Linked DNA regions of Tamandua tetradactyla. Each later gene encodes a partner of the first gene's protein in a complex. Links are inferred from orthologs where the notes say so. Each region holds a gene or a part of one and is shown on either strand. Other genes may lie near its edges.

What was found.
Region 2: CUL3 (region 1) and KLHL25 share a complex: the UniProt entries of both Homo sapiens proteins name them as parts of the BCR(KLHL25) E3 ubiquitin ligase complex. The link is inferred for Tamandua tetradactyla from reciprocal best matches to the Homo sapiens genes CUL3 and KLHL25.
Region 3: the proteins of CUL3 (region 1) and KCTD5 are in contact, whole or in part, in a cryo-EM structure (PDB 8U83), measured with the Homo sapiens proteins. The link is inferred for Tamandua tetradactyla from reciprocal best matches to the Homo sapiens genes CUL3 and KCTD5. Residues at the interface, in NP_003581.1 of Homo sapiens: Thr24, Met25, Asp26, Glu27, Lys28, Tyr29, Val30, Asn31, Ser32, Ile33, Trp34, Asp35, Leu36, Leu37, Asn39, Ala40, Glu43, Asn48, Ser50, Leu52, Ser53, Glu55, Glu56, Leu57, Arg59, Asn60, Ala61, Tyr62, Thr63, Met64; in NP_061865.1 of Homo sapiens: Trp45, Phe55, Leu56, Thr58, Thr61, Arg64, Asp65, Lys67, Ser68, Pro96, Thr97, Tyr98, Phe99, Gly100, Pro101, Leu103, Asn104, Tyr105, Leu106, Arg107, His108, Gly109, Lys110, Leu111, Val112, Ile113, Asn114, Lys115, Leu117, Val122.
Region 4: the proteins of CUL3 (region 1) and KLHL22 are in contact, whole or in part, in a cryo-EM structure (PDB 8K8T), measured with the Homo sapiens proteins. The link is inferred for Tamandua tetradactyla from reciprocal best matches to the Homo sapiens genes CUL3 and KLHL22. Residues at the interface, in NP_003581.1 of Homo sapiens: Thr14, Arg17, Ile18, Arg19, Ala20, Phe21, Pro22, Met23, Met25, Asn49, Ser50, Gly51, Leu52, Ser53, Phe54, Glu55, Tyr58, Tyr62, Leu66, Met118, Asp121, Ile122, Met124, Tyr125, Arg128, Val129, Gln133; in NP_116164.2 of Homo sapiens: Asp73, Tyr74, Arg76, Gly77, Met78, Gly81, Gly82, Leu83, Lys84, Glu85, Leu92, Ile93, His94, Leu117, Gln121, Val125, Cys128, Gln129, Gln131, Pro133, Trp146, Glu150, Asn151, Asp154, Val155, Arg157, Leu161, Phe162, Asp163, Ser165.

The regions. Positions count from the first base shown.
Region 1 is NC_135329.1:200,351,201-200,358,208, forward strand, and holds the start of CUL3 (cullin-3), read right to left. Parts: upstream 3,016-7,008; 5' UTR 2,899-3,015; coding exon 2,833-2,898; intron 558-2,832; exon of another isoform or gene 543-557; coding exon of another isoform or gene 498-542; intron 1-497. UniProt on the Homo sapiens protein: Core component of multiple cullin-RING-based BCR (BTB-CUL3-RBX1) E3 ubiquitin-protein ligase complexes which mediate the ubiquitination and subsequent proteasomal degradation of target proteins.
Region 2 is NC_135338.1:93,727,827-93,735,654, forward strand, and holds the start of KLHL25 (kelch-like protein 25), read right to left. Parts: upstream 3,003-7,828; 5' UTR 2,894-3,002; intron 1-2,893. UniProt on the Homo sapiens protein: Substrate-specific adapter of a BCR (BTB-CUL3-RBX1) E3 ubiquitin ligase complex involved in various processes, such as translation homeostasis and lipid synthesis.
Region 3 is NC_135349.1:54,764,816-54,772,757, forward strand, and holds the start of KCTD5 (BTB/POZ domain-containing protein KCTD5), read right to left. Parts: upstream 3,013-7,942; 5' UTR 2,957-3,012; coding exon 2,705-2,956; intron 1-2,704. UniProt on the Homo sapiens protein: Its interaction with CUL3 suggests that it may act as a substrate adapter in some E3 ligase complex. Does not affect the function of Kv channel Kv2.1/KCNB1, Kv1.2/KCNA2, Kv4.2/KCND2 and Kv3.4/KCNC4.
Region 4 is NC_135331.1:27,298,756-27,306,425, reverse strand, and holds the start of KLHL22 (kelch-like protein 22), read right to left. Parts: upstream 3,001-7,670; 5' UTR 2,957-3,000; intron 1-2,956. UniProt on the Homo sapiens protein: Substrate-specific adapter of a BCR (BTB-CUL3-RBX1) E3 ubiquitin ligase complex required for chromosome alignment and localization of PLK1 at kinetochores.

The DNA.
Region 1 (7,008 bases):
TACTTCAAAAGCAAATAGTGCATTAAATGGTGGTACGATAAAACTTTCACTCTTCAGCACAATCATAAAAGCACACTTTAAGTATGCACTCAAATCACTAAAAAGCACCTGACTTTACTAAGTAGGACTATACCTAGAGTCCACCCACACATCTATACAATATATTTGGTAAGTTCACTCACCACTCCATTTTGCAATGAAAAAAAACGTTCGCAAAATATATTTTCATAAATTCTGACACATCAATTTTGTAAAAACATCATTAGTGAGCACTTGAGACTTGAGGGTAAACTATAATTTCCTTTAACTTCTAAGAAACTATATGGCCACATGGTATACGTAAAACCCACTAGCTGTAAGTATACCACACAAACAATATTTTTTTCTTTAAGGAAGGCTATGCATTTACTACTTCTGACTAGTGACCCATGAAGACTGTAGTTAGGTAGTCAAGGTTGCTAACCTGGAAGAAAAAAAAAAGAATATAAGTACTCAACCACGAGAGGGTAAATCAGTTGAACAGCATTCACAGAAGCATGCATCTGTCCTTAATGAAGGCTCATGGAACTATGAATTAAAAAATAAATATTAAAAAACAATGATTCTTTTCAACAGGAGCTACTTCCAAATAGCTTACTTATAAAATAGTAATGAAAAAACTCCCGCTTTTAAAAATTAGATTTTTTTAACTACTAAATATCAAACCTTGCAAACTTTTATTAAAGGATTTTAGAAAAACAGGACAATAAAGTATAGACAGAAAGGGTCTAAATTAGCTCATAACCATACAGCACTGTAAATAACATTAAGTAGAATCTTAAAACATTCATAATTAAACCAATTCCAGTACTATTTGTGAACCTATCATCACAAATATTTGTCAGTTAAAGGATAAAGAAAATTCACTTCCATCGAAGCCCTGCAACAATACACGTTCCAGAAAGCAGAGATCTTGGTCTTCCAAGCTATACAGATTTACCCCAAGCCCCTAGAATAGCATGTGGTTCATATACTCAATAAACATTTGCTGAATGAAAAGAGGGGGAACAGGTAAAAGCAGGCAAATCTAGAGATCAAACAGTCGGTAAGTAGGTAAAGGTGAAAAGAGAAACAACTCTTTAATCAGTATAATATTATCGTAACAGGTGAGTTGATGTTAAATATGAGCTACTCCACATTTTAGCAACAAATCTCAACTAAAAGAGCTCAGACTTCAAGAAAGAGCAGTTTTAAGATAGTAAACACTTCCTAGAAAATGTGTTGTCCATTTAATTGACAAAAGTCTGAATAGTTCTAAACTCTGCTAAAAAAGGTCTTAGTAGGAAAACGTTACTCACAAATTCATAAATCCAGCTCTTTGCCCCATCACGAGAAAAACATGCCAGTTACATTTGTACTCTTACCAACATTTCTCATGTTCTAATGCAATTTCTCACATTTGCTTAGGGAATAAACTTTAAAAATTCAAAACCCGTTTAAACAGTATCAAAACATGTAATTCTCTAGAGTACATCCTACCTTTATTTACATAGTCTTAAATTTCTAAACAATGACATTTCAGATTTCTGCACCAGTGTATTTTCTTTTTCTCCGGGACTGTTACTCATTCAACTACGACAATTATATTAAGTTTTTTCTCTCTGCAAACAGTGTACTTTAGAAAAAGCACGCTTAAAAAAAAAGTACAAATGTCCTTCCTTTCTCGCTCACCTGATGTACGTTTATGCTTTTAAGAAAGGAAAATCAAGATCTTTCTCTAGTTTGACTTTTTAAAATTAATCCTAGTTCAACTGCTACTTTGTCTATCCTGTCGTATGCCTGTTACCGTAGCGACAAGAGCAAGTATGTCCAGTTTCTGTTACAGCAGCGCATTTTAATTGCTTGCCATTGGCTATCTGAATCAGATAGGAAATCAAAAGTTATACCCTATCTAACCAAACGCCGCAAGCGTTTGACTCAACGCGATACATAAAAACAAAGTTTCTAAACATAATACATCTGCTGTCACTAAAACCGATAGAGTAATGCAACTTAGGGCAACGACTATTCATTCGTTTGGACTTCCAAGGCTGGGAAATCGAGGACCAATTGTCCAATCTGTTCTCTCTTGCTTCCCCTAGTCCCTGGTGAGGCAATTTCTGCACGAGAGAAATTGTGAAGTGCTTTGGACGGTTATGGGAAGAAAGATGTGATAAATACACGGATTTATTAGCATATTACCATCAAGCATTACGTGGAACCACTGTCACTACATCGAGAGTAAGTTGATGGCCCATAACCCTTCCTAAGGAGGGAATAGAGTAGGAGATAAAGAAAAAGAGAGAGAAAGGATAGTCCCCTATCACCCTAAAGGCTTGGCCGTCTTTTAGGATGGGTTATTTCTTAAGACGCTGCAAATCACACGTGAAATTTTACACACACACCCCATACAAGGAGGACTACGATACTCCCCATCCCTGCTGGGCTGGAGTCCCAGGAAACGAGCGGGGAGAGGAGTGCCTGGGTTTGGGCCTACACCCCAGTAATGAGGGGAAGTGTTGGGACCAGCGAAGGGGCTCCGGCCGCAGCCGACGCCCGTCGACCGGCTGGCAGCGCAGCTACGGGGCGTGGGGCAGGGAGCCGGGCCTGGGCACGGGGAACGGCCCAGGAGAGCGGCCGCGCCGGGGCCCTGCGCCGCCCGGTTGCCTAGAAGGCTTGCGCCCCGCGGCCGGCGGGCGTGGGGGGAGGGGAGACCGGGCCTGCGGCCTGTTGGGGGACTTCAGCCCGGGCCTCGCGTGCGGCTTTCGGCCGGAGCTCCGGCCCCGGGGTCCCGGGCGCCGAGGAGGTACTCACCGGAAAGGCCCGGATACGCATCTTGGTGTCCTTCCGGCTGCCCGTGCCTTTGCTCAGATTCGACATGGTGCTCGTCCCCTCCCCGGCGGCGGCTTCAGGTCGCACTCCGAGCGCCGGTGTCACATTTAAGGCGGGCGGGCAGGCGAGGGGCGACGCTGGGGGCGGCGGCGGCACGGCCCCCGGACTGGGCTGGGGAAGCTGGCCGGCCCCTGGGCGGCCGCGGCGGCGGCGGCGGCTCGAGCTCCGACGGCTCGGGCTCGGCTAGGGGGCTGCGCTGGCGCGGCGGCTCCGCGGGGTGCCCCTCACGCCCGGCTCGGCTCCCTTTATCGCGCTCCTCCGCGATGGCGGCGGCGGCGGCGACGGACAAACATCTCACTGCGCAGGCCGAACGTCCTCCTCCTCCTCCTTCTCCTCCTCCGCCTCAGCGAGACGAGATCCGGCCCAGAGGGTGGAGGGGGGAGGAGGGAGGGAGGAGAGCCGGAGAGTGGAGAGATTGGGGGGAGGGGGGGACGGGAGGACGGGAGGGGTAGGCAGGCGGCCGCGGCGGGGACGCTCAGATCTCGCGAGAAAGGGGCGAGCGCGCTGCCCCAGGTGGGGCGGCACAGAGCCCGGGAGCGGGAGGGTGCAGCGAGAAGGGAGGAGGGGAACCGGGAGTTGCAGAAATGGGAGGGGCCGCTGGGGCGAGGAGCCGGGGAAAGAGGCGGGGCTGAGGGCGGAAGGAGTTAGCAGCCTTCTCCACAGGCGAGCGTCGGAACCAGGCTCTGGGCAGAGGTGGTTGCTGATTGGTGGGGCGCGGGGGTGTTCTGGTCACGTGGGCGAAGTGGGAGGGGGAAGTCCGGAGAGCGGGCGCGGCGGGGAAGTGGACAGCACGGGGTTTGGCTGGGTGGGCAAAGGCTAGTCTCGGGGAGGAGCGTGGGATGCTAGGTGCATAGCTACGTCCTAGAACTGGTTCCTGTGTTTTTCTAGGGCATGTGTACTAGGGATGGGTACCTGGGTAGAAGCCAGAAAGCCGAAAGAGTTTGTGCCAGAGTGTCCTGCAGTGTCGGAAATTAGGGTTCTGTATGCTTAACAGAGTATTCGTACAGGTTGTGCTCACCGAGCTCTCAGGACTTAGTGGTGAAGGTGTTAATCCGCAACATTTCCTTAAATTGAGGAAGCTCCCAGACTCTGAACTCACTGACATTTTCTGGGGACTAAGGGCTTATTGGTGTTAAAATCTGTTTTTCGTTTCCGTTGAAATACAGTAACTCCCTTAGAGTAGTGCCATAGTTTGGAAAATAGCATTAAATGGAAGATAAGAACCTACCTTTAACCTGTCAAAACATTTTTACCATTACCAAGAGCATTGTAGGTATTTAAAACCAAAATTATTGTCTTTAACTCAAGCTGCTGTAAAATTGAAAGGTTTTTTTTATCACTGTACTCAAAACACTTAGTTTTGACTTGTCCGTTTTGCCTTTTCATTCATTTTGAATTTTACTTCCTGATTTTACCTACTTGCTCAGTTATTGTTATATTTGGGTTTCAGGCTCTGCGGAGGGATGTGTGCATTCCTACTAAAGTATTTGATCTTCACAATTCTTGGAAGGGGCATCTACTTTGGAAAACCGGAGTTTTAATTGTTTTATAACAAAACCGATTAAGTAAACTCAAGTGTGCTTTTTTTAGTTGTTAATTTACGGTTGAATTTGCCCTAAGTTAACATAGTCCTGGTAACTACCTTGTGAGTATGCTTTCAGCCCCTACTTGGTTGACACGCCCCATTGGAAATGTATTTTCTTGTTTTTGATTTTTGCTATTAACCTATCAAAGCAGGAGCTTAAGAAATGAGGGTGTTGCTTGAGGCAATATCTGAATAAATACTGAAGCTAAAAATAGGTCATCAATAACTGGGACAATAAGGTAAGATTGGGAGGGGCTCTGGTTTAAATATCAGATAATATAAATCTTGGATAGGAGTTTATAATCTGTGTGCTAATTGAGCCATCATTTCCATGATCATTAGAATATGAAAACAGCCAGTGCTTTCCTACTGGTGTACTGTCATGTGGCCCAGTTTCTTTGTAATATTGCTTTGAATCCCAGCCTTGCCATTTTACTGGCTGTGTTATGTGTATTTTGGGACAAGAACTTGTGCCTAGAGTTCCTCATCTGTAAAACTGAAATAATAATAATACCTCCTGTTTGGGCTGTTAGCAACTTTAAATGACTTAATACATTTTTAAAAGCCCTGAGAGCAGTGCTCATCAGCTACCCTCTTGGTATCTTGCTTATACTCACAGATAATGGTTTATCTTCTTTTATTTAATATGTGGGTTTCTAAAAGGTACATGTATGTTTTTTTAAAATGTTCATATTTTAAAACTAAGCCAGGCTTCAAGACATAGACTTCACAAACTAGTAAAATATTTTTCAAAATATTAGGAAACGGATGTAGGATTAACAACTTTAATTTGATAATTATGGCATTAGAAAAGAAAAACTACCACAGATTATCCCATCAGTTTAGTAAAGAAAAAGCATTTTAACCACTGAAAGAAGGAAGGTCAATTTTTTAGTAAAGAGCTGTTCTTTACATTGATTAATTTAGCTTTATGAAAAGCAACACATTGTGCTGATTTTTCTTATTCCACTGTAAACCTGAGAAAACTTCATACTCCAGCATTGCATCAATTGTTTTGTGAACCCAGTTTTTCTTACCTTGCTTTTGCTTATGCAAAATTTAGCTGCACTTAAGAAGAATCTTTTCAGCTATGTCTTCTGTTAGGCTTTTAAGCACACACACACACACAAAACAGAAAAACTTCAAAATGAATTTGTCTGTCACTGCCATTAAGAAATCCACTACTCATTCATGTGTTCATTTATTCTTCCGTTCAATCAAGATATGTTTATCGAATGGCTACTGTATGTCAGGCACTAAGGTTAAATGACAAATGAGACCTGCCTTCACAGGACATATAGTCCTATTCACATTCTCAGGATTTGGAAACCACAAACCCATGAACCATTCAGCAATAGCTTTATGTACCCTACGGTCCAGAAGTCAGAAATGTCCTTTCTTAGGAACGCAGCATCCTTTAAATATGTATGACATAACCCCTAAAGTAGCAGTAGACTATTCTTTTATGCCCACTGATAGTCCCTGATTCACAAATAGCAAATGAACTTTCAGGATATTAGCTTTGCTATACAGTTACAGAGAAAGCAGGGCTGGAATAGGAACTCACTAGATCATGCATGCCTGCCAGTTGGAGTTGCTACTTATGCTGACTGTGTCCTGACGTGGGAAAATGGTAGCCCCATTTCCATTGATTTGTATGGAGCATGTGCATAGCAGTCAGGAAGGGGACCTGTGGGCCAGCTCTCTTTCTACACCCCAGTCTGTGAATAGATAGAATGGGCTCTGAAGAGCCTGTGAAAGGGAGTAGCTTCTACTTACTTAGCTGGAAGTTTTAGGTATCTGGGATACCACTGCACTTTAATCACTGTGTCAGACTGCTGATTTGATTATGCAGATATTAAAACAGCTGACACCAATTAAATTAGAAAGATCTGTTCGGTGTATTTGAATAAGGAAAGACTGTGTTAGGAAAAGATGCATGTTTTTCAAATTGGAAGGGAAAGATATAGATTATAAATATTATCATTTCCTTGAAAGCAAGAGCTATGTCTTCTACTTTTTTTTACCTTGTCTCCACCAGACAATTAATAAGCATTGCAGGCCGTTGGACGTGGCTTTGTATATATTTAAGGTAGATGTATGCTTACAAGCTTTGTAAGATAACATGTTAATGGGGAGAGAGTTCCCCATTAAGAACATAACCACAGATACTTTGACCGATTTATTTATTTATTTATTTGTTTGCATGGGCAGGGCAGGGAATCGAACGCAGGTCTTCAGTATGGCAGGCGAGAAGTCTGCCTGCTTAACCACCGTGGCCTGCCCAATCATAGATACTTTAAATACATGAAAACTGTACGCCTTCTCCATGTACCTTTTCTTCTTTGTCTTTACTGTTTTCCTTATATCATTGAGACAAGAAGCATGTGAAACATGAGCATATGAGACAAGCTGCATCCTGAACAAAAAGAAAAATCATAAATGACTAATTACATCATAAAAGCCCATCTCTTAATTTTTCTTCACACGGTCAGGCTAAAAAAAAAAATAAT
Region 2 (7,828 bases), on another chromosome or scaffold:
GCTCAGGGGATGAGGGTTCCAGGAAAGGGTTGGGACCTTCTGTGGGAGCTGGGCTGACCTCCATCGGGGGGAGGGGCTGCAGGCGCAGGCTGATAAGGGGGAGTCTGGGTGGAATGCTGTGCCTAAAGGCTAGGGAGCCATGAGTGCTACCCACCTCTTGTTCCCTTCCCCATCCCCCTTCCCCTGACCCCCACCCCTCCTCACCCCAGCTTGTCCCAACTAAGGGTTTCCTGGCTGGTAAAACACAAAACATTTCAGCAGCCTTGGCCAGCCGAGGCAATTCAGTTATGAAATTTCACACATGAGACGAAAATCAGCCTCTCAATTAGCCAATTCATTTGTGCCTGGCCACTCTGCTTGCTCGAGCCAGCTCTGCCCTCCCATTCAGACGAGGCTACCCCCATGAGGTTGGCTGGGACGGAGGAACTGAGGGTGTAGGCACTGAGCCAGCCTCAGGCCAGTGGGCTGGGTTCTCCCAGCCCCCCTGAGCAGAGGCTGCATCAGAAGCCACCCGGCTTCATGTAGGACCACCCGGTCCCACTAGCCCTGCAGCCTGGGTCACCCACTGCTGAGAACCTTTCCGCCCCCTCCCACCTGGACCTGAGCCTGCTGCACCTACCTCAAGGTTTGCAGCAGTGAACAGGCCTCTAGGAAAATTGTGGGTGGGTGTGGGAGACACGGCAGCTTCCTAAGGCTTGCAGTCAGACTGCACTGTGGCATGCCACTGCCCCATCTTTCCTCAGCGGAGGCTCCAGCCTTCCTTCGGGAAGCCCAGCCCCAGCCCCATGCTCTGCTCTGTGCCCCCTCACCTCCACTTGCTGCCAATATCCCTGGGGCAGTGTGCAGGCCCACGGCCCAGCCCTCCACACTAGCAGCTCCCTGAAGGCGGGTGGCCAGCACCCAGCAGCCCGGGGTGTAGCACACAGCGGGTGCCCCACCAAGCCTGTCCGGTGAATGAGTTAATCAATGAATGAATGAATGACCAATTCACCACTAAATACCACACTCCTTCTCCCTCATCCCTATTGTGTTGTATGGGAAGAACCAAGCCTGCTTTCATCGCAGGCCACATACCTCGGCTCCTAGTAGCTTTCTCTTCCTTCCTGCTCTCCTCTGCCCACACCAAGTGCCTGCAGGTTTGAGCTGCTATTAAGTCATGGGGCTGCAGAAGCTGCCTCCAACGTGCAGCCCACATTCGCCCTCAGCTCCTCTCTCCGTACCACGAACATAAATCTGACTGTGACTGCGGTGGAGAACCAAGACTAAGGTTCCTTCAGTTTCCCTCCACCTTCCTTTTAATAATCTCCCTGGAGTCACTTCTTGACAAACGGAATGACTCAAGATCCAAACAGCTGCCGGGCCTTGGAGGGGCTGGGATTCAAGGAACCCCTGTCTTTGAAGAACACTGAAGTGCCCCTGGTGGGGTGGACCTTGTGTCCTGCTCCTCCCAGCTGCTTCTCCCAGCCCCAAGTGCGAGCCTCACAGCAGCTCCCAGGAGGCCCGGCTGCAGGGCTGCCCAGCAGGCATCTGGTCCCTCTACAAATGGGGAGGCCAACGCCCAGGTCCCAAGGGGCCTGATTCCTGTTCACAGTTTCCCGAGTCTAGACTGTGATAAGACGGAGGTTCCTGCTTCTCTCCGAGTGCTGCCGAGAACTTCCCTCCCTAGAAGGGCCTATCAGGGCCAGAGCAAAACCAAAGGGTCCAGGTGCCCGACGTTCTGTGCCCTAATTGACCACAGAGGGCAGAAGCCCAGCAAGCCTTCCCCATGGTGACAGCCACTGGGCCCCAGGGGACCGCAGTGTCCAGCTACAATCTGCAGGGAGCTGCCCACCCCCTCCCTAGACCCAATCCCTTCATGTCTCTATAGGTTTTCTTTGCTCTAAGATAATGGGAATGAATTTTGGGGACCTCTGCAGCTAGAGCAAAGAAAGTGGGTAGTGTCCCTGTTGGGGAGGTTTGGTTAAAAATCCTCAAACCAAAAGCTTCTAAAGCAATTACGAAGGGGAGAGGGGGTGGGGGTGGGGGTGGGGGTGGGGGTGGGGCCGGGGGCGGGTCTGGGCACCAGGGTGAGAGATGGGGAAAAGGAGTCAGGCTGGAAGAGGCCTGTTCTCGGCCGGCCAGGTGGCCGCCCTCCAGGTGGGCAGGTGGCTGTGACTTCAGGGCTGTGACCATTTCTCTGGCGCCCCCAGATCTAAACAGACCATCACGGTGTCCGGCGAGAGACCTACTCGGCCCGACAAAGAAATCGGACAGTTCCTCTCCCCAGCAGCGGCTGCGCCCTGGAGCACCCCCGCCAGACTAGACCCATCTCTCCTGGTTTTGCCCCGGCAGCCACCTCTCCCTTGGTATCCACGGTTCGGCCGGGGCTCAAAGCCGAGGCGCGCGCACACCCTCAGCGAACAGCGGCTGCCTCCTTCCGGGATCAATAGTGATTTTTTTAAAAAGAGAGTCTGCAGGCTCAATGAATCAACCCCTCCCAAGGGAGAGTCGCAGCTCCCGCGCGCAACATCCATTTGCAGAGCAATTCATTCCCCCGCGCACAGCGCTCAGCAGAGACCCTCCCGCGGCCCCCAGGCCCCGGCGCGGCTGACTGCGGTCCCCCTTTGTCCCCGACCCCAGGCCCCACGCACCCCCCGGCGGCCGGGACAATTCCGCGAGTCGGCGCCGTGCTGCCGCCGGGACATGCGGCCGGGCCAAGGCTCCCTCCGCAGGAGGTTCCCGCCGGCGGGACGCGCGGGGCCCGGCGCTGCCGGGTCCCGGGGCCGGACAGGTTCCCCAGGCCCGCGGCGGGAGGGGGCTCCGCGCGCCGGGTTCCTGGAGCAGAACCTGCACCGGGCGCGCTGGAGCCGGGCGGCCCCGAGTCGGCGCCCCTGCCCCCAGCCCAAGTACTCACCGCCCCAGGCGCTGCCGGCCACCGCACTCAGACGCCCCTCACCGCTCCGCGAGGCTCCGCAGTCCCCGCCGCCGCCGCCGCTTGCGTGCCGGCTCCGCCGCAGCCCCGGATCGCGCTCCCGCTGCGGTACAGCCCGGGCGCCGCCAACAAACTAGTTTCTCCGGCCTTCCCGCCCCGCCTCCCTGGCCGAAGCACAGCAGCCAATCAGAGGCGGCACCTCTGTGACAGATGGACAGCCGAACCCGTGTTAGTTCGGAGGAGGAGAAAGGGGTGGGCGCCCGGGCCGCGGGGTACAGGGAGGGGGCGGAGCAGGCCCAGGAGAAGGACTTCGTCCTGATTCTTAAAGGGGCAGGCGCGTACGTGCCTCCTAGGGCCAAAGTTAGAAACCCAAAGCAAAAATGTGTTCTACAACTTTCCTAAGGAAGGGGCTATGTACGTTGCATATACGTTTACTGCCGTCCCCAGATTACAAACCTGTAGGTTTCGTTGCATAGTCTAGAATCACACTCTTAGTTGCCCGAGGTTAAGAAACCCTTTCTTTTTACTCCGGGCCGATTTCAATGGTTGGAATTTTCGGCACCCACAGACCTCATTTGTGCATGGAATCTGCATTTTTCAGGGTATCTCGGCGCTCCTACCCCTGCCATTTCCCACTGGGCTCTTTTTGTAAGCCAGCTTTCAAATATTCATTCATTCATTCATTCCACAAATGTTTGCTAGATGCCTGTGGGTTAGTCTCTAGGGAATTGAAAGATTCTTAATTCCTCGTCCATGCATTCCTATAGGGCTTGCATCCTATTCCATCACTAAGCTTGCTATGCATGCAATTTCTTCATCTGTAAAATGGCAGTTAAAAACTCTTCAGGGAATTATTTGGAAGATTAAAGAAGACAAAACTTCTATGACTAGGCACACAACAAATACTCTTTCTTTTTTTCCTTTTACTGAAGAAAGATAAGTCAAGTAGGTCACCTAAGGTTACAGATAACTCTAGTGAAGTATAGAAAGTGATAAGAGCCAGCTGAACATTGGAATAGGGAGAATTCCTAGTAAGCAGAGGTCACAGATGGGAGGTGCAAAGAAGGTTTAAGGAGGAGGAGAGGAGTGTACAAATGCTTTTAAAGGAAGGGTAGGATTATGACAGGTGGAAATGGAAATAGAGCCCCATGACTAGAAACCTCCTTAGATTGGGCAAAAGAGATTCCAGGCTTCAAAGGCTCTGAGATGACAGAGAAAATATGACCAGGGAAGGCATTTTGGGGGAAATAGTATGGGTAGAGAATGGGTGAGACCTGGTTTGAATTCCAGCTGTGTCCCTCAAGAGCTGTATAGGATTGCTTCATACTGGTAAATGGAGGATTCTACAATCTCTCTTGCAGAGTTATTGTCAAGATTAAATATGATAATGCATGTAATGAACGTGGCACCTAGTGAGTGTCTAACTTAAGAATTCTTTTACATGAGTGAGAAACAAACTTCTATCATGTTTAAGTCACAGTTATTTTTGGTTTTCTATCATATGGAGCAAAAGCTAATTCTGATACGAGATTTTTTTATCGTGTTTCAAAACTGTGTGTTCAAACAATTTGTGTGAGGGACCAAGGATTCAGAAATGGCTGTCTTGGCCCTCCAGGACTCACTATGCAGGGGGGTGGACAGGTACACAGGTCGCTACAATGCTGGGTTGGAAGGGGTTGTGATGGTGGTTCTGCTTTATGCAGGGTTGTGTCTCTGGTCCAGATCAGAGACTTTAAAAATACAAAAATTCTATTATTTAAGAGCAATTTGGCCACATGCACCAAAGTACCTTCAAAGGGGAAAGACGCAGCATCAAAATAATTGCTCCATTAAAGAAATGACACAGAGCATATTTATAGTTTTAATTTCTTGCCAATTTTCTACAGCTAGGGAATTTATATAATTGTTGGTTGGATGAAGCACCACATGCAAAATTGACTCTCAGAAAGTTTGGAACCACTACTTAACATTCCATACAGGTTCTCTATGAAATTATAAATGCCAACCATCTAAAATCTGGTCTAGATTATCATTTCCCCCCCCCCCCCAACTCCAAGGCTTAATTTAGGTACTGGAATACATTAAAATCAAATAAAGGCGATGGAATGAAACCAGATCAAGACATGTGTTGAGTTATTGCATTTAGATACAAGTTGAAAGAAAAAGAGGCGATGAAGCTTGCTTCACCATCTGTCTCAGTCCTCACTGTAGACCCTGGAGCAGAACCACCATCACAACCCCTTCCAACCCAGCATTGTAGTGACCTGTGTACCTGTCCTCCCCCCTGCATAGTGAGTCCTGGAGGGCCAAGACAGCCATTTCTGAATCCTTGGTCCCTCACACAAATTGTTTGAACACACAGTTTTGAAACACGATAAAAAAATCTCGTATCAGAATTAGCTTTTGCTCCATATGATAGAAAACCAAAAATAACTGTGACTTAAACATGATAGAAGTTTGTTTCTCATTCATGTAAAAGAATTCTTAAGTTAGGCAATCCACTGTTATCAGAGACCTGGGCTCCTATATTTCCATTTTGCCATCCTTAATGCCTGGGTTCCATTTCCAGGGTTGCCTCATGGTCCAAGATGGCTCCTAGAGCTCTGACTATAGCATCCATATTCCAGGCAGCAGGAAGGAATAAGGGCGGAAGAGCAACAGATGTGTACCTTCCAGCCCTGTCAGCCCCACTTAACCAGCTTCCAGAAATCCCACACAATGCTTCCATTTATATCTTATTGGATAGAACTTAGTCACAGGGCCACATCTAACTACCAGGGCAGCTGGGAAATGTTGACTTCTATATGAGTGTATCACCTTCCCCAAACAAAATCAGGGCTCTGTTACCAAGGAAAAGGGGAAGAACAGATGTCTGGTGTCAGCCAACCATTCTAGTCAACACCTTTTATCCCCCTGACATGACCATCTGTCCTGTATTCCTGGTAGCCCAGAATCTAAGGTCTTAGAAACTCTAGGATGAAGCATAGAACTCAATACATATTTGATAATAGATATTGAATTATTGGTTCTCCTTCTACTTTTCCCTATTCAGTCGTCTCTGCTGATTTCTCCTTGCTTCCTAGGCTCGCAAATTATGGAGTGCTCTGGAAATGAATGCAGGTACATGGAAGACCCCTTCCCTCCCCACTCACACTCTCTAGGAGACCTCATCTAGGCCCATGGCCTTAAGTTTCTATAAACACTGGCAACTCCCAAAGCTGTATTCCCAACCCTGACTTCTCCACGAGCCCCTGGTTCATCAGTACAGTTGCTCCTCAATGACTTTGCTTGGATGTCCAGGGTCCCCTCAATCCTCACTTGCCCCCACGGAGACTTGATATGCTGCCCTGCAAATGAGATCTTTCTCCTACAGACTTCCCTAGCTCGGGAAAGGACAACTCAAGCATTCCTTTTGCTCAAATAAAACATCTTGGTATCACTCTCTGGTACATCCCACTATCAGGAAATCCTTGCAGAGACTGAGCCCCTCTCACCACGTCCACAGTCATCCCTGGCCTGGGCCATTGCAGCGGCCTCCTGATTCATCTCTCTGCTCCCTACCATCCCCTCCCCAACCGAGTCCAGTTTCTCTCTTTTTTATTTTGAGTTTATTCTCAACACAGCTGCTGAAAGGAAACCTCATCATGTCCTTTCTCTGCTCAACATCTTCCACAGGCGTTGTCCATCTTCATCCAGCGTGGGGGTCAGCGTCCACACGTCGGACAGCAGGCCTTGCTGGGCCCGGCCAGGGCCACCCCTTGCACCCCGTCTCCCACCTCCCTGCACCCAGCACTCTGCTGCAGACCCATCAACCACTTTGCTGGTGCTCAGACCAGCCCATCGCACTCCCAAGGTACGGTCTCTGCTGGGTTAGTTGTTCCACCTGGAAGGCTCTTCCCTGCCATGTCCACAGGCTTCACGCTTGTGCTTCACCCTATCAGATGGGCTTTCCCTGCCCAGCCCCTGCATGAAGTAACCACGTTCCCGCCCCGGCCACCCCATCCCCTACCCATTTTGAAGCCACGTATAGGTACATACAGTGAAAGAGAGAAGCAGCCCCTGGCACCCTTTCCATTGTCATTGGACTTGTGGGTTTTTCTACATATCTTTGAGACGATTTTGATAACCTATGTTTTCCCAGAAAATCCTGGCTGCCACTGAGGTTTCCAGAATATATCATTATCCTGCTGCCTGTTATGTGTATAAACACACAGCGTTTTTACACTTGTACAACGTGGCGCTCACAGCTGTTCTCCTATGAACATAAATTATTTCACAGAACATCACATCAAAACACACTGGATCAAGGGAAAAGCGAGACCATGGATTGTCAGGTTTCAACAAGGGTAAAACATGAACATTGTCCAAGCCACAAAATATCCCAAATCCTCCTCTCTGGGGGCCAGAGTGAGTGACTATTGTTTCTTCACTAATTACAGTTTAAGCCTCTTTCTGGTCTGCCCCACTTTAAGGAAGATTTATTGGGATACCCAGTCACAGAATCATCCCCCCTTTCTGAGAGCACCAATCACCCATCTAAAGTCCAAATCCTATTACAGGTTCTTCCCAGCACCCCTTTACTAGGGCACCCCATTATCCCCCCTGTGTGTTCTGTCTCATTGCAGCAGGTCCTAAACCCAACTTATTCACTTGCAGCTGTGCCTGGTGGTCTCTGGCCGGAGGGCATTGGTGACACACACATGTATATATATATTTAAATTTTTGTTTTGTTTTTAATTGGCTGTCTTCTCTCCCAGAGGGTAAGTTTGAGGAAAGCAGGGCATTCCTTTATTCACTGCTTCATTTCCAGATCTGACAGCGCCCAGCACACAGCAGGCTCTCAACAACCCCCTAATTCAATGGATTGATAATGAAATGAGAAAAGCCTCACAGGCGGTGTTTGCTGCCATTAAATCA
Region 3 (7,942 bases), on another chromosome or scaffold:
GATACAGGACAGCAGGCAAGGAAATAATGAAATGCACAACACAGCCAGTCCCGCTGGAGGAAGTCCCAGGAGGAAGTGGAAAATACACCCTTCAGCTGCCTAGAAAGAGAACTTCATGGAAACAGTGGACTCCAGTCAGCCTTGAGGAGAGGGGAACGGGGCTTGGCAGGCAGTGGGCCCCAGGCTTGGCCCTGACACACGGAGTGCAAGGACCTGGGGGGCGGGGTAGGGGGAGTGGCACTTGCAGCCCACGCACAGGCTTAGACATGCGGCGGGAGGAGGGTGAGAGCAGCTGCCTGTGCCCTGCAAAGAATCCCCAGCTTTTGGCTTGGGGCCCACTCCCCACCCTCCCTACTTGTCTGTCAACTTCTCACTCCTCCTCCAGAAACCCTCTGCTTACACATCGTGACTGATGTAGCTCACCACTAGAGCCTGCATTCTCTGGAAGCCCTTCACAGGCATCTCCAAATGCTGGGCAGGTTCTGAAAGGTTCGGTCTCCTGTTTCTTCTCCCTCTTCCATTCTCCCCACCCGCCCGCTCACCTGAGTGCCCAGCTGCTCAATCAACAGCAGTCGGATGCCAAACAGAAAATCTTTCCCCAGGTCTGTGTTTAAATTCAAGGAAGGGAATATCCGCCAGGCAGCCTTTCATTAACTTAACTATGATGTCAGAGCACAGAGATTTTTACATGTGACTCAACATCCTGTTTGTCTTCCATCATGAAATTACCCCACTCCTCCTATCACCCCTTCCCCTCCACCCTCATCTTTGGATTCCTCACTCAGGGTGTAATTCTCCAGGAGTGACTCTCCTGGGACATTCTTTCATCAGAACAACAAAAAAATCTGTGCATAAAGCTTTTTATATATACATTCTTCTCATTTAAAGCAGAACACCATACAAGTGTCGCGAACGTGAATTAGCACTACCCTTTCTGGCAATTTCATGTTATCCATCACTAAAACTAACCCTTATTTACTAGAAGGTATTTTCTGAGACATTGAGACTATCTGCTGTATTATGTTCACATACTAATTTTTGGTTTGACAATTAGGAAAGCAAATGTGCTAAAGTGGATGATGAAAAAAAACAACTACAGCACAGATATACTGGCTAATTAACCCTCCCCCCGCAGTGATTTCTATTACAGTAAAGCAGCTTTTTTTTTTTTGCAGCTTTTTTTTTTAAGTAGTCTTAAGAGACAAACACAAGGACGAACAGACTGGACAGTAGTGCAAGCCAAAGTCAATCAGCTTTGAGTAGATTGTCCCAGTATTGAATACAATCAATGCCTTGAAACTACCCAATGCACACAAGCAATTTGAAATGTGACTTAATACACAAAATGGGAGTGTGTGAATAGAAATGCAAGTGAATGACCACTAAGATCCACTGTTTCAAAAGACAAACAAAACAGTGAGGCACACACCCACATAATAAAAAGAAAATCACAGCTAACAAAAGTCTCCTTCTATCCTGGAGAAGCCTCATTTTCTGGGAGATCAGTTCTCTTAAGAGAAGACAGCTTGGTCAAACCAGCAATGGAAACAGCTGGGGAAGGAGGGGGTAGGGGGAGTGGGGATGAGAGTGCTGGCATCACAAACCCTGGTTTCTAACAAGGGGATGGGTGGTTTTGTGGTAACTTGAGAGTTCTCGTTTCCTGAGCACAAAGGTCATGCCATACTGAGGATGGCTGCTTTAAAGAGGAAGCTTTCTAATGCACAGCAAATGTTGGGCTGGCGAGGAACAAAGCCAAGTGTAATTATGTAGGCTCAACGGAGAGACCCAGCAAAGTTGGTCTAAGGCTTGTGAACTGCCAAGGACAAAAAACAAGTAACAATTATTCTTCCAACAGGAGCTTCAATCCTTTATAACTCCTAAGAAACACTCCTCCTTGGCTTACAACCCTTGCAAAGGTAATCATGAAAGTAGCTTCTGCTACCATCTATTACCGTACAACTGGATGAGCATTTAATTTAAGGAAAGACAAGCTGCAAACCAACCTCAAAAATTCCTACCCTTTTGTGAAGGTAATGGGGAAACTAAAGTTATTTACAAAGCAGAGTGAAAAAAGATCTACCTGCTCCCGCTTGGGCACCTCCAAGGCACTCTTTAACATAGGAAATGCTCCCTCCGAAAACTCACGCTGCGCACACCTCCTGAGCGGCGGGGTGGCGCGTGCTACCGTGGTTGAAACGGAGGGAGCACCAACTCTCTAAATGCAAATCACTGGGAAGGAGGTCACCTGTGCCAACCACTCAAGCCGGCGTCAGGTCAATGTCCACAATGTGAAAAGACCAGAAGAAAGCAAGGGTTCTCCGCCTGCGCGGCCAGCACGTCCGCGGGGACAAAGAAGCGGCGGGGTTCATACCCTGGGGCGAAAGAATCTAGGGAGGAAAAGAAAAGAGACCCACAGCGAAGAAAAACTCCGGGGTCTGGGAAACCTCCTTCGCGAAGGGCGAGACGGGAAGAAAGGGAGGCGCCCCGAGGAGAAGCGGCCGGGGATCCGCGAGGGTGGCGGGCGCCAGGGCGCCTTCCTCTCCCTCCCCGCGCAGGACGGTCCGGGATGAACTGGTGGCGACGGAAGGCGCGGGGATCGGAGCCCGGACCCGCAGCGAGTGGCCGCTTGCGCTGAGGTCTCCGCAGCTACAAGAGGGGGTGTGCCGCGGGCCCGGACCCCTCGGCCGGCCTGCGCGGCCCTCACCTTGTCCGAGTCCAGGTCGGGGTCGGCCTGGCACAGACGGTACAGAAAGGATTTCGGGTCCCGGCACAGCGTCTGCCGGGTGGTGAGGAAGTAGGTGCCGCCGACGTTGAGCCGGACCCACTTAGACACGCTGCCCGGGCGCTGGGCCGGGGCGCCGAGGCCCACGCTGCAGCGACGGCACAGGCCGCCCCCCAGCCCCGCCCCGAGGCCGCCCGGGGGCGCCGGCAGCAGCTCGCAGTGATTCTCCGCCATGATCCCGGCAAGCCCCGCCACAGCTCCCCTCCGCCGGAAGCGTCCGGCCTTTAATACCGTCCTCCGGCTCCGTCCCGCCCGCGGGCCAGCCCTAGCAGAGCGCCCGCCCCGACGGCACGCGGGAGGCGGAAGTTCCGGCGGGGAAAATCGGCCGGCCGTGCCCACTTCCGGAGGGAGCCGGTCCCGGGCCAAGGGTCTCCCAGCGTGGCCCGGGTGCGCCGGTGCTCGATTCTCATCTCCAAAATCCCAGATCGCGACCACTCCGGATCAAAGGAAGAGCCACGCCAGCGAACACCTCTACATGCTTTTTTATTACAAGACTACCGAGCATACGTGGAGAATTCATCATCCGTTAACTACATCTGAAGCACAAATACTTGGGGAAAAAAAGGGGGGGGGGATAAACAGACTCATTAAATTATGATATGATTAAATCATTGACCAAATAGAAAATTTATATAATAAAGCCAGAAAAAAAGTTGTAAAATATAGTTTACAATAATTATTCACATTCAAGGCTGTACATCAATACATACAACGTGTCCCCGAACATGAATTCAATCCAAATAATTCATATATTAGAATTTAAATAACACAGACTGAACTAGAGGCCAACAAGAGCCAGCAAATAACCTTATATAAGAATAAAAATACAAAAGTGTATATCCTAATATCATTGCATTGTTTCATATTTTTTTTTTAATTTTTGCTTTGCCTGTACATCACAGTTACAGCTACAGACCAGGTAGAGAACATTACACATGCTCTAACTGACTGCCACCAACCTGAACGGCAGCGAGCATACTATCGGTTCTTATGTTTTTTAACGAACAGCTACAGCAGCTCTAACTACTGCCACAATTATATTTTGCCAACGTCCAATCAAGCTGATGGTCATAATAGAGGCTTGTCACTAGCAAAATGACCCCAATCCATAGTCATTCAGCCAGATGGCTTAGACTAAAGTGGATCACACAGCTAAAAAAGGTTTGTCTTTTGTAAAAAGTTCTCTGTACATAAAGTTTGGTGTTTCTTCACATTGAAGAAATGAGTTATGGGGAAAACCCAGGTATACACGTAGGCTCGTTCAGTTCCCCACCATGGCCATCTGAGCTAGAGATAAAACTGCCCTCTCCGGAGCCGCCTCCTCCTCAGACCAGTTCTCCACAGGCAGCCTGGCTTGAACTGTGTGAGCTTCAGCCAGCGAGCCTGCACCCTCAGAGGCCCCAATCAGAAAGCACTTGCCAAGTGTACTGCCTGAGGAGAAAAGGACACACCCACCTGAGTCATCTACAGTTCATGCTAGGTTTGGGTATGAAAACAAAACAGAAAAACAGGTATGGCAACATCTCAAAGAATAGTACCTTCACCACATGCTCGCAGTGACTGTGGCTCGCACTGCCTCTGATGTCTTGGCAGTGATCACCCTTGTTTGTGGACCAGCCAGGGGAGGGGACTAGGGGGTCAGAGAAAGGCCGAGCAGCCTAATTCCACACAATTCAACCGTAACCTCTGGTTGTCAAGTGGCACTGAGCATGGTGCCTGGAAAAATCTGTCATGCATGTTTACCCTCAAAATCAATGGATCCCCTAACATGGAAAAAATAAAATTGATATCAAATTTGGATGGTCTGGCTTGACAGCTATGGGGGTGGGAGGGGCGGGAGAGAACTCCTTAAATTCATACCAGCCAGGATAATCACATTCAAAACTGAAAAAGACTGGGCCCTTATGCTTTCCTGGACCCCTAAAACCTTCTGACCATATTCTACAGTGTGAAGAGCTGAGACACACACACACATTCTTCCATAAGATTCAGTCTACAGTTTCTTTTTCAAGTATACAGGCTCTTCTACAGATTTCAAAGGCCAAGTATACTTTCTGAGTCTATAAACTTAATAACAAATTATCCAATAAACATGTGGCAAGGTCAGTTCAACACTTATCTCTGCTGACTGTGCAGAAGCAAATTCAGTACCATTGTAGACACAAAGTACAAGATTCTGAAAATATCACCAACCACTCAAAAGCCATAGCAGCAGGGATGGGAAGATAACATGCATGAACAATCAGATTCTTTCAACGGAAATAAGTAAGCTGGTTTTTAGGAAAAAAAATCTATCATGGATGGATTGCAGTAATGGTATCATTTTAGCAATTTAAAAAAACAGTGGTCTTATTCAAACATTCTTCGGAACAAAGACCTTATCAGAAATGGATGTGTTCAGAATCTGAAGGAAAGAACTAAGGATGTTCTGATATTGGAATTCTATGCATCTAAGCATCAGATCAAAGAGAGAGAAAGAACAATACCACCTTCAAAATGAACAAACTCTCTGATCCCAAAATACCACTTCTAGGAATCTAAGGGGGAGGGGGGAAATAGAGTCAAAATCAAAGATTTATAAGGATATGCATCACAGCAATATTTAAATACTGAAAAATCAAAAACTATATAAATGTTTTACAACAGAAAAGTGGCCAGATAAATTATGATAAAATTTACAATCATTAAACTCTACCATCATTAAAAACATGTTTTTGAAGAATTGTTCACAACATAGGGAAATGCTTAAGATCAAATACCAAGTGGAAACAGCTTGATGCAAAACTGTATATGTTGCGTGATCCCAGTTTACTTAACAAAGCCAATAAATGTGCATAGGGGGATAAGTGGCAGGATAGACACCAAAACGTTCACAGTGGTCTTCTCTGAGTGGTGAGCCCGCAGTAGATTTTTTCAGAAAACAAATGCTGGTTCTAACAAAGTACCCCATGGTGAGCTCTGAGGGTCTGTGCCATGGGGCTACCTCCTCTGCAATTCCTTCAGGCCTGGCTCACAAATACCAGAGTGGCCGGAAAAGCAGGCTGGGGTGAGTGAAGAGGTGCCTGCCAGCTCTGGCATATGATAACACAAGCCATCTTTCCCAAAGCAAATTTTTAATCAGACTCCACCTAACAGAGGCCTCAAATAGCACGCTGCACTGCTCTCCACGGGGATAGCAGGACTTAGCAATCTGCAGAGGGACTTTGCTCTGGCCTGGCCAGGTTTGGTCCACAGAGAGAAGGGAGCAGCCTCATCCCAAACCAGCTTCCTCTCACAGCAAGGCAAGGCAGAGTGGGCTGCCTGAGCCAATAAGGCCCACAGCCCTCTTGGCCATCCCTCCTCCCATCTGTGCCAAGGGGTGAGGGGGCAGTCTCGGCTCAGCAGGCTGCCTGACTGGGCATTTACATTTGTCCTTACCGACTCCGGTAAAGACACATGGGCCCTGATTTTTTTCTCACCTTGGATAACATTCACATTTAATTTCTCTTACGTACGTCTGATGACCCAGACCCATGTGCACATCTTAGAACGTAAGGCACTGGCATGCTGGGGCTACGGCTCCAAGGATGGGCTGGATAAGACTAAGCAAAAGAACACGCAAAGACCTTAAAAAGTGAAGGAAGGGGGGCAGGCATTTCTGAGTAAGAGGAGAAAATGGTCTCTAGAGAAGAGGCCTGTTGTCATCCACTCAGGCAGAGGGTGGCCATTTCAGTTGTCACCTGAGAGCGTACTTCTGAACCTTCCAATTATCTCATTCAGGATATCAAAATGGGAGCTGGTTGGTGGCGCCCAAGAGGTAGTGGCGCTATCCAGAGGGGAAAAGGCCAACGTAAACTGTATCTTGTCCCCAAATAATCGGCCAAGAGCCCTTGCTAGACCAGGGCGGGTTCTGTTGTGTCCCATTAACCAGAGCCCAGAAGAGGGGGACAGGCTGGGGGCAAGCTCCAAACTCTCCTCATTGCATACACAGAATGAGGCATTCTGGAAAGTGTAAAGTGTAAAAAAAAAAAAAAGAAGTAAGCCTGAAAAGAAACTCCTGAAAGATACAACCAGGTTAGACTCACCTTTTAAAAGCAGAAGAACAGAGGTGAGCCTTTTTAAAAGCGAGGAGGAGAGGAGGTACTGTGACCAACGGCCACCCTGGGCAGCCTGCTGGGCCCCAGAGAGTGCTCAGACACCGTGCCTGCGAGAGTCCTGCCCCCTACGGCACCCCGACACCTTGCCCCCCGCCCCCCACCCAGCTCCTATATACTCACAGTTCTCATGGACCACACCCACCCAGGAACCACAGCAGAGGCAAGCCCTTCTCACTGCTCAATCCCAATGGCATTCTCCAAACCTGCACTTTTTTCCCAGTTAAAAAAGAACCACTTATCACTCAAATGGAAACAGTTTGAAAGAAATCCTTCCTCTCAATTTGGACCTGGCCCGGTTCACAGAGTTGAGATAAGAAATAGGAGGGGCAGGGAGGTGGTGTGGAGACTCTCTTCTATGTGAGCCTTTCACTGTTTCCTTGGTGCTGCTCTGTAAAAATCTAAAGGAAAGTGCACGACTTCTCATGCCCTTGGGACATTCAAGTCAAGGCCATGTCTGTGAGCAGACTGCAGGGGTGGTGGGGTCCTGCCCCTCTTCAACACAGAGGCCAAGGGCTGTCCTCCAGGGACAAGCGGGACCACCAGAGGAATGGCTGGGCCCTTCTGCACTATCAAGAGGGCTTCCTGACAGGTGAACGGCAAAGAAAACAAACAGACTAGCAAATTCTGGACCCCTTCTGCTGTTCTAGCAGCGTGCTGCCTCCTAAGCATCAAAAGGAAATGACCCAACAACTAGAAGAGGAAAGCAGACTGGGTACACTGAGGTGGGATATGTGGTGCCCTGTCTCTCCTGCAAGGCAGATAACACTCTTTTCCAGGCAGAGTCTGCTCTTTAAGGGACCAGATGATGCAGCAACATGAGAAAATTCAGCTAATTTTAATTTTCAGTGTAGAGAGAGAAAAACTCTCTGAGTCAGGCCTTGAAAAATGTTTACCCACAATCACCAGGAAGGGGTGCACGTGATGGTGGGGCCGTTTGCTCCCTCTGCCACCTGGGTGTGACTAAGTAACCACTGTATGTACACAACACCAGCAGTTTCTCTCAGCCCTCCTTAACCAATCGGGG
Region 4 (7,670 bases), on another chromosome or scaffold:
TTCAACCCCTGCAATGACATCCAAACTTGTCTCGCTATCCTGCTGTCTGATCCTTTCCCGGTTTCCCCGCTCAGGCCACACGGCCGTCCCACGACGTCCCTCCTCTGATTCCTGACTTCTCAAGCATGGCCTCCTCCTAGTACCACTTGGGGCTCCCCAAATTTGGCTCAACTCTCCTTCAAGCTGTACTTCCGTCAACATCCTGTTGCTAGCTTTTAGACCCAAATGGACACCCATCACCCTCTGCCCGCCTTCACCTGCCTGCCTCAGTTTTTCTGTCTCTACAACCCAGAGCTGGTCAAGGTCTAGTTCAATCACTTCTCTCCCCAGGACAAAGAACACGAGGGCCACACTCCATCAATCACAGCAGGCTCACCTACCCAGGAGATTCCAGCTCCCGGACGGCTGGCGTTTTATCTCATGCACTTGCTCAGCCCAGGGCCAGCTGCACCACTTGCTGACAACATGACTCTGGGAACTTAGCTCCAAACCCCAAGCCTTGGCTTCCTCTTCAGTAGAGAAGACTGGCTGCAATCACAAACACCCAGTCCCCAGGCGGGGGCCCCACGCCACCTGGAGCACAGCAGCCCCCCATTCTTTGGAAAGGAAGAGGTGGAAGGCAGCTACCCCTCAATGCCTACTGCAAAAACAAGTCCACAAAACTGGGAGGCTGTTTCCTTGAGTAGGCCCAGCCCCCATTTAACAAGCACAACTTGAGGAACTAAGCTAGGTGTTCAGGGGTGTGTAAAGAAAAATGAAAGCATTCCCTGCTCAGAAGGCACACGACAGAGCGCAACATGTTCAAGACAGCATATGAGAACCCTCTTCGTAAAGCAAACACAAGCCACCCCAGAAACATCTGCCTTGGAGATTCAACAGAATACCAGAAGATAGTTTCAGTGAGCCAAGGAGAACTCCAACCACAGCAGTCAACACAGAAAAACCTCAAAGTCATGCAGAGAGAAACAGAGAGGGCACAGCAAATTGCACAATTGTGCCTACAAAAAGTTCGAAAACATGTAAAACAATGCTCTCCCTATATTGGTTACAGATGGATGTTATGATGGTATAAAACAGAACAAAAACATTGGAATGATAAATAAGATTCAAGGTCATGGTTACCTCCAGGAAGGACCAAAGGTTTTATTTCTTAAAAAAGAAAAGGCAAGACAAAGCATTAGGATTTGAATGGGACAGGTGGTGTATCATTCTCTGTATTTTTCTGTCAGCTTGAAATATTTAATAAAATCTCACTTATTTTTGAGTGTGTTAATACATTCACGTGATTCTAGTTCAAAAGGTACAGTAGAAAAGTATACCATGAAACTTAAGTTTTTCTTTCACCTACATCCTAACTAATCTTCTCCCACACGCAACTATCATTCCACTTTCCAGAAGGAAGGGGATGCACAGGAAAATATACCCTATTCCTGCACAGTCCATTATATGGAAAGCCATTTTTATTTGAACAATCCTCTGTGGAGGGGCATCTGGGTTTCCTGCAGTTTGTTATTGCAACCAGTTTGGCCCCGCAACTCAACTATGCATGCCACAACATACATGTGGCAGTTATCTGAGGGAAATTACTGAGCCACAGAACTACTGAGTCATTTTTACTTTAAAGTATATTTTTAATTTATTTCTTATTTTTGGGGTGCACAGCCTAAGAACTGAACCCATGTCTCCCACATGGCAGGCGAGTATTCTACCAGTGAACCACCTGTACACCGAATATTTTTTATTTTAAAGGATATTGTCAAACTGCCCCGCATACAGGTTATGCCAACTTATTCTCCAAGCAGCAAAGCACGAGAACCTGAGAAGCATGAGAAACTGCCTAACTCACCAATAGTGTTTCTTTATAGTCTTTGCTCTGACTGAAATGCAAAAACGCATTTCAGAGTTTTTACTATATAGTTTAATATATAGTAAATGTAGTTATACATATATAGATAAATTCATATTTCCACAATTGACAGCATTCTAAAAAAACAGAAAATTAAGCCAAATGCAGCACACCCTTTATGATTCCCTTCTCACACCTGTTTTCTGGAATAAAGACTGCTCTTCCAAGCTGAAGCTGTGGCACCCTCCCCTCCCGACGTATTTTACAAAGGACTACCCTGAGGCTCTTCCCCAGATCCCTCTAGCCAGATCCCAGATCCCTCCAGCCAGATCCCAGATTCCCACTCGATGCCTTCCAAAGTTTCAGAGAATCAAAGAGTAAGCCTTAGACCCCCATCAAGTACAGACTGGACAGAAAAATAATTATAATGAAGGTATGCCTGGCAGAAAGAATTTCAACTGCACAACCATTTACTGGGTCCTAAGGTGATCCTCCGAGGAGCCCCAAGACGAACCCCGGATGTAGGCAGCCTGCAGGAAGAGTTACAGCGATGGGCCAGGGGTACGCGAGGAGAGGACAGGAAGGGAGGCTGGGGGGGGGGGGAATCTCCCCGAAAGCGGGACCCCGCCTCGCGCCCCAGGACCTGGCCCCTGACGGCGCGGTCTCCGCGTCCCCTCAGGACCCCCACACTGAACCCCTCAGACGGTGGCCAGAGCGCGAGCGCGCGGCCGGGGAAACTGAGGCCCTAGGTGGCGTCAGGCCCCGCCCCGCGCCCCGAAGCCCCGCCGCAGCCGCCTGTTGCAGGCCCGGGGCGCCGCGGGGAAGGTCACGCTGAGGCCCGCCGCGGGCCACTGGCCTACCCGGCTGAAGAGGCCGCCCCAGGGGCCCCCGCCCCCCGCCAGCCCCCGCCGCCGCGCCCCCGCCGCGCCCCCGCCACGTCAGGCCGCGCGCTCGCCTCAGGCCGCCGCCCCCGCGCCTCAGACCGCGCCCGCCCCGCGCCCCTGTGCGCCCACACCGCTCGCCGCGGCCCTCCCCGCCCGCCCCCGCCAGTGTTCCCGGGCCGGCGCTCCCCAGCCCGCCGCCGACACCGCCCTGCGCCTCGCAGCTCACCTGGGGAGCCGCCGCAGGCCGAGGCCGACTCGCGGGGCGGGGGCGGGGCGCGGGGAGGGTGCGTCACGTGGGCCGCGCGCAGGCGCAGAGGCGAAGAGAAGGCCGGAGACAGGGGCTGGAGCCCGCAGCTGCTCCGCGGAGGAGGCCCCACCCGCACAGCGCCGGGCGCCTGGGGGAGCGCGCGGAGGATTGAGGACCACCGACCCCCGCCTGGCAAGGGTCCCTCAGCGTAAATCCGCGTCCTCCTCCCCCGCTCCTGCCCCCCTCACTCATCCATCACTCCCACCCTCCCTCCCTCTCTCATCCCCCACCCCCCACCCTCTTCACGCCCACCCTCCCTCCCGCTCACTCATTCATTCATTCCTTCTTTCCCTGCCTCATTCATTCCTTCCTCCACCAGTAGCCGAACCTCTAGGTGGATTTGGAGAAAGGAGACGCCTAAGTCTGGGCCAGGCCCTGGGAAGTCAGGTGGAAGAAACCTGTGTGAACAAGTTGTTTTATTTTCCTTTGACCTGGACTCTGGACTAAGTCCAGTTTCCAAAATCTCGGGCCTTGTCTCAGTCGTCCCGAGGGGACTCTTGGAGCTTGTTTTTCTCCACACCGCATCCAAGAGGGTCCGGGTCCTCCAACACCACATCTGATGGCCATGTGCAGATGTCACAGTGCAGGGTCTCAAGATAGATGGGGTGGGGGTGACCTATAGAGGGGGTGGGGTGAGGTGTGGACAGGGAGTGCTAATGGTTAAAAAGAAAGGGGGAGGGGAAGACAATAAATGAAAGAGGAATGATGTCCCAGAGAGTACCAGAGAACCCAACAGGGAGCAGAGATTCCTAATGAGTGCGTTCCTGGGAAGGCTTCCTGGAGGAGGTGACCCCTGAGCTGTACAACAGACGGAGACTTCTGGAGAGCAGGAAAAGCATTCCAGGAAAGGGGACAGTGTGAATGAGGCATGGAGGCAAGAACCAGCCGTGTGAGTGACTGGGAGGGCCCCAGGGTTTTCTGAGCCTGAAGGGAGTACTGGAGACCAGACAGGTTCCCCCTGGAGGCTTGACTTGACCCCGAGGGCAGCAGAGAAGCTGATTTGCATTTCATAGTGGCCTGGGCTGCACAAGCTGCTCTGCAGAGCAGGGACTAGGAGGCTGAGAGGCAGGAAGTGAGAACAGAGGTTGGTGCTGCTGGAAACCTGGGAAAGGGGCAAGTTCCAGGATATGGACAAATGATAGGTAAGTGGAGAGCCCGAAAGGAATGGTGGGGGACAGGGAAGGCAGAGCAGGAGCTGACTGGGAATAGAGATGAGGCCCTCTTGGCCCCAAGAAGTTTGAGGGGCCTGCCAATGCCATCTGAGGACCCCACTGAGGGGGAAAGTATGGGGTCAGGAGAAGTGGCTGAGGACAGAAGCATGGACACATCAGGAGCACCCAGAAAAAAGGCACCCACAGAGGTGACTGGGGATAAGGGCTGAGGACCACGTATCAAGAGAGACCCTGAAGAGAGAAGCAGCATGACCCCTGGATCTGCAACGATGGCAGAGCTGGCCTGCAAGGATGGAGGTGTGGCTGGGAAGATGAGAGGGACAGATGGAAGCCCATTCTGGGAGAGGGGAAGGGAGTACCTTCACAGGTGGGAGAAGGGGTCTGGTGGATGAAGAGGGTGGAAACAGGTGAGAAGTAGGCAGCCAGAGGAGCAAGGGAAGGGGCTGGGGAAAAGGGGACACATCTCTGAGCTGGAAGAACCATCTCAAAATATACCAGGTCAGGTCAGTGGTTCACCACTGGAAAGTTCTAGAGAAGGAAAGTGGCAGGATAGGAGGAGGCCTCTGTAGCTGTGGTGTGCAGATTTTCTGATATCCTCCCGTGGATGTGTGCACTTCCTAGGAACTCCTCTGAAAGAACTTCATCTGCTCCTCCACAGCTGTATCCCAGCACCCAGAACAGGGTCTGGTACTCAATTGGTGCTCGGTAAACACAAAGTGAGAGCATTGGAGCAGAGAGAAATGGGAAGCAGGGAGACTGGCTAAAGGATGGTTATAAATGACGGAAGACTTTCTAAGCCTCAACCCAGTGGAAGATATCACAAAGGAAAAGAGCAGCAGACCTGCCTGCAAAGCAATTTGATGGCAGTCAACTTAAAAAGAAGGCGAAGACATTTTTTTGCAACTAAATGATAACAAATGGCAGCCTTAATATCTAAAAAATTCATAGAAAACAGTAACAGAATATAAAGATTCCAATAGTTAAATGGGAAAGGACATGAAAAGTTAATACATGAAAGTGGAAGAATAACTTCATACTTCATAAATACTGTGAAGAATCATCACCTACTGGGACAGTAAAAGAAATGCAAATTACTGAATCAGTGACTATAATCTGCGATGTATACAACAGAAAAAAGATTAGTATCCAGGACCTCTAAAAATCAATAGTAATTAGAAAGACAACCAGCCAGAAAAATGGCAAAGGATATTTACTGAGCATTCCCAGAGAAGGAAGTACCCTGGTTGTAAACAAAGTAGAGTTCAGTCTCATTACTAATCAGGAAATGCAAATAAGTTGCCGCTTTTTGACACATCAACATGGTGAAATGTAAAGTGGGATGAAATCACGATTTGGTGAGTATGGGGAATATACATGTGTTCTAGTTTGCTAGCTGCCGGAATGCAATATATAGAAACAGAATGGCTTTTAAAAAGCAGAATTTAATAAGTTGCTAGTTTACAGTTCTAAGGCTGAGAAAATGTCCCAATTAAAACAAGTCTATAGATGTATAATTTAAGGCATCCAGGGAAAGATACCTCGGTTCAAGAAAGCTGATGAAGTTCAGGGTTTCTCTCTCAAGTGAGAAGGCACATGGTGAACACAGTCAGAGTTTCTCTCTCATCTGGAAAGGCACATGGGGAACACGGCATCATCTGCTAGCTTCTTCTCCTGGCTTCCTGTTTCGCAAAGCTCCCCAGGAGGCATTTTCCTTGTTCATCTCCAAAGGTTGCTGGCTGGTGAACTCTGCTTCTTGTGGGTATGTCGTTCTCTGCTCTCTCCGAATCTCTTTCTCCAAAATGTTTCCTCTTTTATAGGACTCCAGTAAACCAATCAAGACCCATCCAAATGGGTGGAGACATGTGGTCACCTAATCCAGTTTAACAACCACTCAACTAAATCACATCATCCAGGGAGATGATCCAATCACAGTTTCAAACATATGGTATTGAACAGGGATTATTCTACTTTTATGAAATGGGATTTTGATTAAAACATGGCTTTTCTAGGAGGCATACATTCTTTCAAACCAGCACAACATGTGTTGCTGATGGGAATGTTGATTGGAACAGCCAATTCGGACAGTGTAGTGGTTTTAAAATACATCTGTAAATTCTTTACCTCACCTCCTGTGCTGGTTTGGAAGCACCCAGAAAAGCTATATTCTTTTAACCCAATCTTGTGGGGGCAGACCTATTGTGTGGGTGGGACCTCTTGATTAGATTGTTTCCATGGAGATGTGAACCTACCCATTCAAAGTGGGTCTTAATCCTTTCCTGAAGCTCTTTATGAGAGAAAACTCTGTGGACACAGAAAGTAGAAAGACACAGATGCTTGGAGACAGACAGAATCTCAGAGAGTAGTTCACCAGAACCTGGAGCTGAAAGCAGTAAAAGCAGGGAGAAAAGGGCTGGCAGATGTCACCTTGTGCTTTCCCATGTGACAAGAGAAAACCCAGATGCAATCAGCCTTTCTTCAGTGAAAGTATCCTCTTGGTGCTGAAATTTGGACATTTTCATGGCCTTAGAACTGTAACTTGTAACTCAATAAATCTCCACTATAAAAGCCAATACATTTTCAGTGTCTGCCCATGCAAAAAAAAAAAAAAAAGGCCAATATGCTTCTGGTATATTGCATTCTGGCAGCTTTAGCAAACCGAAACACCTCCTTTCGAAAGGTGAGACTCACTTTCACTCCCCATGAATACTTCCAAATGATAGAATGAGGACAAAGTAATGGCATGTCATTTTCAAGGCCAGATGATAACCAGGCATTGCAGCTTCCCTCTTGTTCTCTGTTGCATTGCTCATTCTGTGGAAGTGAGCAGCCATTTCGTGAGGACACCCAAGCAGCCCTGAGGAGAGGTTCCCGTGAAACAGGTCTCCAGCCAAAACCAGCTTTCCAGCTGAGCCATCTGCCTGGAATCAGATCTTCCAACATCAGCAAAGTCTTCAGGTGATGGCAGCTCTGGCCAGCATCTCCCTGGAGCTTCATCATGAGAGGCACTGTTTCAGAAGCACCCAGCTAAATCTCTCCTGAATTCCTGAAGCTCAGAAACCATGAAGCACGAGCATTTATTATTGTCATTTCAAGCCACTTAGTGGTGTAATTTGTTTTTGAACATTTGCATCTCCCCAGCAAGAGAAAGAAAAAAGAGAAAACTCATATATGCCATACCCTGTCCATACCCTGGATAAAAGGAGCATCAGACACAAGGTTTTCACAATCATACAGTCACATTGTAAAAGCCTTATTATTATACAGCATCTTCAAGAAACATGGCTACTGGAACTCAGCTCTACAGTTTCAGGTACTTTGCTCCAGCCACTCAAATACACCATAAACTGAAAAGGGAATATCTATATAATGCGTAAGAATAACCTCCAGGATAACCTCTTGACTCTGTTTGAAATCTCTCAGGCAGATTTTAAATAAAATGTAAAATGCCTCTGCAAACCAAC